Linked DNA regions of Callithrix jacchus. The protein of the gene in region 1 interacts with the protein of each later gene in a biochemical or structural test. Links are inferred from orthologs where the notes say so. Each region holds a gene or a part of one and is shown on either strand. Other genes may lie near its edges.

Region 1 (3,655 bases):
CAAATTCTCAGTTACCTAAACTGCAGAGTATAGCTTCTCACATCTTCATTGTCTTCTTTTTGGCTGCCAATCAGAAGCTGAGCAAGGAAGTGTGATGAGAATAAAAACAAATTGGTTTTGCCACAAATGGTGCTTTCTGAAAGTTTTCAAGGCTTAAGTGAAGTCTTTGGATTTATACTTTCATTTATTTGAGCAATTTTGATGTTCAGCTCCTTTATTGTTTAAGTTGTGAAATACCCTGTCATTCTGTTTCAGGAGCACGTGCAGAAACTAATTCCCGTGTCAGTGGTGTTGATGGATATGAGACAGAAGGCATTCGAGGACTCCGGGCCCTTGGTGTTAGGGACCTTTCTTACAGGCTGGTCTTCCTTGCTTGCTGTGTTGCACCAACCAACCCAAGGGTAAGTCGTTTTTAGGTTTTTGTTTGTTTTTGAAACAGAGTCTCTCACTCAGTCTGGAGTGCAATGGCAAAGTCATGGCTCACTACAGTCTCTACTTCTGGGCTTAAGTGATCCTACCACCTCAACCTCCTGAGTAGCTGGGATTATAGGTGCACAGTTAAAAAAAATTTTTTTAGAGATGAGATCTTGCTCTCTTGGCCATGCTGGCCAACAGTGAGTCTTAGAATGACAGCTTAAGAAAGACCTGCCCTTAGACTGCCACAAAGTGATAGGATTCTGAGACATCTAGGTTATCTAGTCAATGTTAAGAGCAGGGGATGGGGTTGAGATTTCATGAGTTTTAAAACCAAATCTTTTGATGTATGTCTTTCTGATCTTGAAAAAAAAATGTCTTATTTGATGTCTTACATAAGAGCTCAATGCTTTACATGCAGTGGTACAAATTATCCACCCTGCTTTTAAGTTTTACAGTTCCTCTGTTATACTTCTGGAGGAAATATAAATAAAAAGATTTAGTAATCTGGGAAGTAAATTTCTAAGAACGATGAACCCTGGGCAGTATCGTTCAGTTAACTTGATTCTGTGTCATAAATGAGAATTTGGAAAATAGTTCAGTGTTGGAAAAAAGAGAGTGAACATCATGTTATTTGCATCTTTATGTCAGTGATGAACATTCTACTCATCTCTTGAGCATTCAGATTGTTTTAAATATAGGTATAAAACAGTAGTGGTAGCTTTTTTTTCTTTTTCACTCACTGGACAAATGACAAACCCTAAGTGTCTTTGTTAACTGAGGGCTTACTAGTTTGGGGAATTTATTTTATTATTATTTTTTAATTTACAGTCAATAAATTGTTAGGTTGACTTCCCATGCTATGTTGTTTGTAATGAAGTTTCTTCTCCTTTACACTGTTTTTATTGCTTCTGTACTAATAATTCTTCCTTTGTTCTCTACCCTTAGTTTGGAGGGAAAGAGCTCAGAGATGAGGAACAGACAGCTGAGAGCATTAAGAACCAAATGACCGTGAAAGAATGGGAGAAAGTGTTTGAGATGAGTCAAGATAAAAATCTATACCACAATCTTTGTACCAGCCTATTCCCTACTATACATGGTAAGAATTCCATTCCATCCATAGCATAAACTTGAAATCAAAATAATGATTATAAATAGCCACAAATGATTTCTTAAAGCATGTAAATCAGACAATGAAAGTTTTTAGTGAGTCTAAAAGGTCACCTCAAAAGGACAGGTACGTGATTTCGCTTACACGAGGTACCTCTAATACGCGAATTCATAGAGAGAAGGTAGGATAGAGGTTACCAATGGCTGGGGAAATGAGAGAAATGAGTTATTTAATGGATAAAGTTGCTATTTGGGATGACGACAAAGTTCTGGAAAGGGATAGTGGTGACAGTTATACAACATAATGTACTGACTGCCACTGAACTATACACTGAAAAATGGTTAAAATGATGAGTTTATTATCTATTTTTATCATATTTTTTTTTTTTTTTTTGAGACGGAGTCTTACTCTGTCACCAGGCTGGAGTGCAGTGGCGCAATCTCGGCTCACTGCAACCTCCACCTGGGTTCAAGCGATTCTTTCGCCTCAGCCTCCCGAGTAGCTGGGACCACAGGTGCGTGCCACCACGCCTGGCTAATTTTTGTATTTTTAGTAGAGACGGGGTTTCACCATGGCCAGCATGGTCTCGATCTCTTGACCTCGTGATCCGCCCGCCTTGGCCTCCCAAAGTGCTGGGATTACAGGCGTGAGCCACCAAGCCCGGCCTATCACAATTTTTTTTAAGAAAAGGTCATTTTGTCATCTTATTTCCTGGCCTTGTGACAGAACTGCACTTAAGTGTGTTTCAATATGATAGACTAGTCTCCTAGCCTTTTGTTGTTTTGCATGCATGCGCATGCATGTGTGTTTTAAAGAGACAGGGTCTTGCTATGTTATCTAGGCTGAAGCAGTCCCTACTGGGCTAAAGCAGTCCTCCTACCTCCAGCCTCCCCAGTAGCTGGGATTACAGGTGTAGGCCACCACTTTTGGCGCTTGTATCTTTTTTTTTCTTTTGAAACATGGGTCTTGCTTTGTTGCCCAGGCTGGAGTGCAGTGGCGTGATCTTGGCTCACTGCAGCCTCCGCCTCCTGGGTTCAAGTGATTCTCCTGGCTCAGCCCTTCCAAGTAGCTGGGATTATAGGCACCTGCTACCATGCCAGACTAATTTTTGTATTTTTAGTAGAGATGGGATTTTTGCCATGTTGGCCAGGCTGGTCTCGAACTCCTGGCCTCAAGTGATCTGCCTTGGCATCCCAAAGCGCTGGGATTACACGGGTGAGCCACTGCACTCTGCCCTTTATTTCTATCTAAATATAAGTTAGAGAAGTTTTGTTTGTGGAATGGGTTTTTAATTTTCTACCACTTTTGTTTTGTTTTGTTTTTTGAGACAGGGTCTCACTCTGTTGCCCAGACTGGAGTGCGGTGGCAGCGAACATGGCTCATGACAGCCTCAACCTCCTGGGCCTCAGCAGTTCCCCACCACAGCCCCCATATTAGCTGGGATTACAGATGCTTGCCACCATGCCAACCTAATTTAAAAAGAAAAATTTTTTTAGAGATGGGGTTTCAACCATGTTGCGTGGGCTAGTCTCAAACTTCTGGGCTCAAACAATCCTCCTCCTTGGCCTTCCAGAATGCTCAGATTACAGGCATGAGCCACCACACAGAGCCTAATTTTCCACATTAAGGAATGCCTAATGTAAGTTTGCATAGCACTTTGTTGATGGAGTTCACAGAGTCGATAATTCCACAGAAAAATGTTTCTTTGAATAGCAGTGTTCTTTTTAAAGAAAATTACACTTTTTCTTCTTGGATTTATGAACTAAGCAGCTGTAAATTGTATTCAGCATCTTATTTAATCCACATGAATTCGGTTAACGTATTTATTCAGTGCTGGTCACTGTAGGTATTAGAAAAGAAATGTTATGAACCATTTCCTCAAACACTTGAAAGAACTATGAGAACAGCCATTAAAAAGGACTAGCAAATGTGGTAGGCTTTGGTGGACGTAGTTTATTTATCAGGAGACAGGGCTAAGGCATTGGGTGAGGTTTTGTGTAGGAAGTAGGACTCATGGACAAGTAAAGGCTCTTAGGATGGTGAGCACTGGCATCTGTGACATTTGTGGTATAGGAGAAAACATTCGAACTGTGGTTTAGGTGCCTAAGTCCACGGAGCAAGAACCAAGGT
Region 2 (3,655 bases), on another chromosome or scaffold:
CCATATACAATCTAAACAATCTACTAAGTGTGGCAGAGATAATTATATGCCATTTAGCACAGTCCAATACAGAAATATCCACTTGTATTTTGTGAAAATTTGGAAATAGTCATTTAAATTTTTAATCCATAAATGAGACAAATATTGAGTTTTATTTAAATACTAAATACTTTGCTTTCTGCAAATTATTCTAATATACATGTGAATTTATTAAAAATGTGAAATGCATAGAAACTTTATGCATCCTTATATGTGGCATGTATATACTGAGTAGTCATCATGTAAAATGTATTCAACAAAAAATGAGGGTTAAGTGTGGTGGTGCACGGCTGTAATGTCAGCACTTTGGTAAAGCAGAGATGGGTAGATCACTTGAGCTCAGGAATTAGAGACCAGCCTGTGCAACATGATGAAACCCTGCCTCTGCAAAAAATACAAAAACTAGCCAGGTATAGTGGCTTATGCCTGTAGTCCCAGCTAATTGGGAGGCTGAGGTGGGAAGATTGCTTGAGCCTGGGAGGAGGAGGTTGCAGTGAGTTGAGATGGCATCACTGCACTCTAGCCTGGGTAACAGAGGGTAAGCCTATTTAAACAAACAAAAAAAATTGTGTTCAAGAGTGTAAAAGCCATTTTCCAGTCTTGCCAAATAATTCATTCTTAATGGCAACTGGAAGACCTTTCCAAAATGACTATCCAATGAAGTTACTCTTCTATTTATATTAGTTCCATAATTTTCCAAACCCTCCAACATAAAATCTAACTCCTTTATATCATGCAAAACCCTATATAATCTTAACATACTGATTTTTCCAGCTTTATCTTTTGTCACTGGCACATTCAAAGATCAGGTGTATAATGCTATGCAAGATTTCTAAAATATGCCACCCTACTACAGTTTCATGTCTTTATATACAATTTCCTATCAGCTTATTATATTTAGACCCCTGTAATTTAAGTATTGAACAAAGGAAAAGCAGGCCGCAAAAGAAAGGCCTGAGAAATATGAAGAGGCCACGAGAAAGCTAAGAGATGAAATTTCATAAAAGAAAAGTTTAGGGAAGACATGAACAACAGCTGAGAGAACCAATATGTCTGGCTTTTAAAAAGTGTCAAAATGATAAAAAAACTGGTCTGAAATTTTATACTTTGTAGGTTGAAAAGTGAATGGCAAGTATAAAAGTAGAGATTTGAAAGTTTGGTTAAGGAATTTTAAGGATTAGATAATAAGTAGTTAGGGACATGGGATCAAGGCAGGTTTTACTGTATTTGTTTTAAAGGATGGAAAAGGCCTGAATCTGTATAGATGCTTCAAAGAAGCAACAAGGAAAAAGAAAGGGACTGAAGATAATGGGAACATTAGGTTTAACAGAATATAATAACCAATGTGGTTAACAAATACTTCAAGGTAGCCATGCTAAAACAAGATTTTGTTATACCACCATCTAGAGCAGTTGAAAAGGATAGCATAGTAACTTTTATACAATAGGTTGATTTTAGTGTTTTTCTGCAGAATAAACAAAAGTACCTGTTACAAAACAGCAGTAAAAAAGGGGGCTGGGGAAGCGACATATGCCATTATTCCGGAAACAACTTTTACCTGGTGAGTATGACCCTAAAATTAAACGACACATGATTTATTTGAATAACAGAAAAGCCACATAGTACACAGGCTTGTCCCTACGATTATTTTCTTTTTGGCAGGAAAAATTTACAAATACATAAATTAAAAAAAACCAAGCTTGGTCACTTTAAAAATTTAGTTTAAAATTTTAAAAAGAAAACATACCCCATCTCTTACTGAAGTACTTGATTTCTTGAGTAAATACAACTCTTTTTTCTTTTGTTCAATGTAGTATCTTATGTCTTTATTAAAAGAAAGAAGGTTTTAAGATTAGCAATTTTACTTTTGGAATTAAAAAGTCATTTTTTTTGTAGTTAAATTAGATAAAGAATTTGCCATTATAGGTATCCCTTATGTTATGGTCTAAATGTTTGTCTCCTCTAAAACTCATGTTGAAACTTAATCCCCTATGATAGTACTACTGAGAGGTTGGACCTCTAAGAGGGGATTAATGGGTTAATGGATTAATGGGTTATCATGGGAGTGGACCTGATGTCTTTATAAGAGGATGAAAAGACCTGAGTAAACACACACAGCCTCTCAATCATGTGATACCCTGTACTGCCTCAGGACTCTGCAGAGTCTCCACCAGCAAAAAGGCCCTCACCAGATGCAGCCCTTTGAACTTGGACTTCTTAGTCTCCATAACTGTAAAAAACAAATTCCTTTTCTTTGTACATTACCCTTCTTTGTACATTACCCAGTTTCAGGTATTCTGTTATAAGCAGGAGGAAATAGACTCAGACACCCTTGCTATCAAAATTCCACCAGGTAAAGTCAGGAACCAAAGGACAGACATAAACACTTATAACAAATATTGTCAAAAAAAAATTATAAAATCCTTACCATCAATATGAAGAATTTTTACTCCCCATGATAAGGCATTTGATAATATACTATTTGAAGGAATAAAATCCTGTTAAAAAAAGTTTTATAGTTGTTTAAGGAAATTAAGATGACCTAAATTTAGTAAACACTTAACTATTTGAAGCTTAATGTGTCACTAAGGTGGTTATTTGTAACAGACCCTATAGAGTTACAATAGCCAGGACATCAAGATTTTCTTTTGGCTTTTCTAAAATCAATCCCACTTTATAACCACATCCTTGACAATGTAATACATAAGGCAAGTTTCAAGTTTCCAGTAATATTTTAAAAGTCTAGAAGATGGGGATATTTCTCCATGAAAAGTTAAGTTCTGTACTTTGTAAAATAAAATACATGCTGAGATTCAGGCTTTTGCCTACAAATGTGGAAAATATAGTTTCAGGAACATCTGTAATTTCCAGTTGAGTTTTTAGTAACAAAATGTACAGTGTAAATTTTTATAGTTCCTACTTACATGGTCCTTGATAGCTTTTTCAACTAATAATTTTCCTCTACTTAAACACACCTATAAAAAGATCAGAAAAATTTAAAACATAGTGCTTAACTAGAGAACAGGTTAAAAAGGTTAAAGCAGCTAAGAAAAAATTTATTTGTATTAAGTCTTAATGGCTATCAACATAAATATGTGGTCAAAAGTGATTTCTTTTGAGTCTCATATTAAAAAGTTTCTTTCTCTTTGGTTTTGTAGTAAATTATATTTAACATGAGAAATAAAATAGCTAGGTTTCACTGGAATTCTTTATCTATAATTAGTTGGTTTATATTTTGTTTCCTATTAAATCAAAGATTTAAGAAAAACAATAAATCGTATATACTGTTTTTACATGTTATTTCACTTTATTTTTTGGGGGGAGGGAGATGAAGTCTCCCTCTGCCACCCAAGCTGGAGTGCAGTGGTACAATCTCAGCTCACTGCAACCTCAGCCTCCCAGGTTCAAGCGATTCTCCTGCCTCAGCCTCCCGAGTAGCTGGGACTACAGGCATGCGCCACCATGTCCAGGTAGTTTTTAATTTTTTTTTTAGTAGACACAGAGTTTCACCATGTTGGCCAAGCTGGTCTCGAACTCCTGACCTCATGATCCACCTGCCTTCGCCTCCCAAAGTGCTGCGATTATAGACATGGGCTACCACACCCAGTCATTACTT
Region 3 (3,655 bases), on another chromosome or scaffold:
AGGCTGCCCATGTGTGACACTATTAAAGGCTAAGAGAGAGTCAGTACACATGTTGCTGAAAAATCATAAATAAAAGAGTCATTTTAGGAAAAAGGTACCTTGGGCCTAGAAAGAAAAGCAAACAAAAAATCCTAGCTTGTATGCATTAGGCTCAAACTTGATGTCTCTTGGGTCCCTTCTACCTCTTAGAGTTTTCTAAGTATATTTGAAAGAGAATATGCCTTTCCTAGGGAGTAATATCTGACTTTTGAATCTCATCTCAGAGCTACCTAGGAATGATTATTTCACTAAATTTCTATATTACAGGTGATCCTGACAGTTTTCTATGAAAAACAGTGGGATTGCCACCGGCTTTGTCTTTGAAAGAATAAAAAAGAATTTAATTTTGCAACCTAGGGTATTTTGTTTTACATATATATTATATATGGATATGGGAGAGAGAAATTAATTTTGGCATTAACAGTATTTTCCCTTCTAAAAGATCTTTAGAAGAATAAAAACGTCACATCAAACTCTTAAATAAAGCCAAATAAAGAAAACATTTCTTTATTTGTGCAAGTGGGGTACATGACTCCCTCTACTCTGGACAGCTTTTCTAAGGCTTGGAGACCCACTCAACTTGAATCCTGGGTTTCTGTTGTTCCTTGCTGTCTGGAAGTAATAAATCTTCCCCCCCCCCAAAAAAAGAAAGAAAACATTTCACATGATTTCTTATGACTTATACACAAGATAAACAAATTTAAGATTAGCCAAATTACAAATTCTCTGCTTAGGAAAAATTCTTACTAAAAATGTTTTACATATATTAAAGATACATACCCCACACTCTGCTACATCTCTGTATTTTCCAAAATGAAGAACCTATGACCCAAAACAGAGGAAAACAGAATTATATCAATATATCAGAACCAAAACTACCACAAACAGCACAAGAACAAAATTAATATCACAAATTCAGGAAAACAGCAATACTTACATGTGCTTTTGTGTTTTGATTAACTGTTTCATAAACTCCCATGTAAAACTCAGGGTCAAACATATCCTGAATCATGCAACGAAATTTCACAAAACTATTAGGTTTCAAATAATGAAGGGGAACTTCATTCAGTGATGGTACCTTAAAAGAAAATAATCAAGTAAGTCAACTAAATATCCCGTCTATACAACATGAAGCATACATACACAAACTTTATATCCAGACTCAAACTGTTAAACACACACCCACCCATACCTCATCATTGGCCAGGGAGCCAAATGATCTCACTGGCCAACATAATTCTGGGGATAAGTTCTCTTCCAGTTCTTCCCAGTTTAGATAACATTTGACCATAATGTAAAAGAATGCTAAAAAATGTTTTTCATTTAGAACACTTTTCAATTAGCAAAAAGGCATTCACCTGGTTGAGCTCTTCTCTTAAAACTAGCATACGCCAATTCTTTCAAAATGAAGATAATAAAACAAAGGTAATTGATGCTTTTGCAACTAAAGATTTGTCTTAGGAAGCAATACAGTCAGTTACTGCCACCTAGAGGCATAATGTATTAGTATTTATTTGCTTAATTAGCAAGAGACGAAAGTCTTTTCATACTTACTTGAAGCAGAAGTACACATTAATCCACATATTTTAAAATTACATGTGTGTTACTACTCTACCAAGAGAAACTGTACAGTCTGCCCAACCCTCTCCCCCAAAAACAGCAATAAGCTTACCCACTTAGGAGCATTATTTTCCTTCAGCTTTTCCTTAAAATACTCAATTACTTTCTTCTCCCAGTCAGGATTAACTCCATTTTGGGCTGAAAAGAGAAATGTACTTTTCAAAGCTAATATACAGGCAATATATAATCAGAGACTATGATCAGGTGAGTCACACAATAGTTTAGCCAGCAAAAACCAAACTAAAATTTGCTACTATGATAGAATGAACTCTAGCTAGAAGGATGAATTTTATACTTCAGCATGTCTGAAGTACTACACAAGACATATTCAAGAAACTGTACTGGTCCGGGAGAGGGACAGTTATAAATCAGGAGGATGTTGACTTCCTGCCAGCTCTCTGGTACCCACAGTGAAGCTGGGGACACCTACAGAATGAGATACAAGGCTACCTAGATTCAGCAGCATATGAGCCACTGCTTGTAAAGCACTTTGTTCTTTTAAAATCTTTTTATGTAGTTTTTAGTTAATCTTTACAACTATCCTGAAATGAAGAGCTGAAGTTTGTTTACAATTTCATTTGGGAATAATTCCAGATTCAAAAAAATTGGGAATAACACCTGTATCCCTGCCTCACTTGCTTATCATTTGCTCCATCTCTTATTATTTTTCTGACTCATATAAGTTGCATAGGCTGGGTGTGGTGGCTCACGCCCACAATCCCAGCACTTTGGGAGGCTGAGGTGGGGGGGATCACCTGAGGTTGGGAGTTTGAGATCAGCCTGACCAACATGGAGAAACCCCATCTCTACTAAAAATATAAAATTAGCCAGGCGTGATGGCGCATGCCTGTAATCCCAGCTATCGGGGAGCCTGAGACAGGAGAACTGCTTGAATCTGGAAGGTGGAGGTTGTGGCGAGCCAAGATCGTGCCACTGCACTCCAGCCTGGGCAACAAGAACGAAACTCCATCTCAAAAAATCAAACATACAAACAAAAGATTAAGTTGTACTATCACGTATTTTTGCCTTAAAATATTTCAGTGTATCTCCTAAGGAAACTATCTTCTATAACCGTAGTACTGTTACCAACCTCAGGAAATTCAAAATTGACCCAATACTATCCTCTGTAGCACTTTTTACCCTTCAGTACAGGATCTGGCCTAGGATCACTTTTGCATTTAGCTATCAGGTCTCTTTACTCCCCTTTAATCTGAAATAGTTCCTCAAGCTTTATATTTTATGACATTGCTATTTAAGAAGAATAAGGTCCTTTTTAAAACATTGAATGCTTCTCAATTTGGATTTGTTGGTTCCCTTATGATTAGATTCCAATCAAGTATAACCAAACTGCTGTTTAAATGATGGTTTCAAACTACTGTTTAAGTGATATTTTGTCCTTCTAGGTATCTGGAAAGACATGATGTTCATCTTCCCTTCGTTGGTGACGTTAATTTTGATCACCCAGTCAAAGTGATAGTCCATTTATCTACTGTGTAGTTTATTTACTCCTTACAATTAGCATGTCATCTACAGAAGGCACTTACGGGAACTGGCTAAGACCAAAAAGTGAGCTATTTGATGGAATACAGATTTATGTGAACTAAAACCACCAAACCACACAGTGGGCCAATCCTGCCACCATCTGTATTCATCACACAAGTGTTATGAAGATTTGGAGTACAAAACAAAAATTCTACACTTGTTATGGAGCTGAATTTGTTGAAAATGCTCATACAATCCTAACACCATGTTTGAGCAGGACTTCCAAACACGGTTACTTAACTGGACAAAGGCCAGTTCTGAAAAAGAAGTAGGGATGGGTGACTCCTCAGATGATTATGACGCCCAGATGTTAAATCCAGTAGTAAACTGGTCCTCAAAGTTGGTTCCCTGAACAGCATCATTAGCACCACCCGAATCCTTTTTATAAATGCAAATTACTAGGCCAGGCACAGTGGCTCACGCCTATAATCCCAGCACTTTGGGAGGCAGAGGC

What was found.
Region 2: of the proteins of MCM6 (region 1) and DBF4, one has a biochemical effect on the other in vitro, tested with the Homo sapiens proteins (2 studies listed by BioGRID). The link is inferred for Callithrix jacchus from reciprocal best matches to the Homo sapiens genes MCM6 and DBF4.
Region 3: the proteins of MCM6 (region 1) and MCMBP form a complex in vitro, tested with the Homo sapiens proteins (2 studies listed by BioGRID). The link is inferred for Callithrix jacchus from reciprocal best matches to the Homo sapiens genes MCM6 and MCMBP.

Annotation. Positions count from the first base shown.
Region 1 is NC_133507.1:94,653,330-94,656,984, forward strand, and holds part of MCM6 (DNA replication licensing factor MCM6), read left to right. Parts: intron 1-255; coding exon 256-401; intron 402-1,362; coding exon 1,363-1,513; intron 1,514-3,655. UniProt on the Homo sapiens protein: Acts as a component of the MCM2-7 complex (MCM complex) which is the replicative helicase essential for 'once per cell cycle' DNA replication initiation and elongation in eukaryotic cells.
Region 2 is NC_133512.1:61,855,576-61,859,230, forward strand, and holds part of DBF4 (protein DBF4 homolog A), read right to left. Parts: intron 3,015-3,655; coding exon 2,964-3,014; intron 2,538-2,963; coding exon 2,468-2,537; intron 1,864-2,467; coding exon 1,787-1,863; intron 1-1,786. UniProt on the Homo sapiens protein: Regulatory subunit for CDC7 which activates its kinase activity thereby playing a central role in DNA replication and cell proliferation. Required for progression of S phase.
Region 3 is NC_133513.1:112,957,364-112,961,018, reverse strand, and holds part of MCMBP (mini-chromosome maintenance complex-binding protein), read right to left. Parts: intron 1,798-3,655; coding exon 1,712-1,797; intron 1,118-1,711; coding exon 977-1,117; intron 862-976; coding exon 820-861; intron 1-819. UniProt on the Homo sapiens protein: Associated component of the MCM complex that acts as a regulator of DNA replication.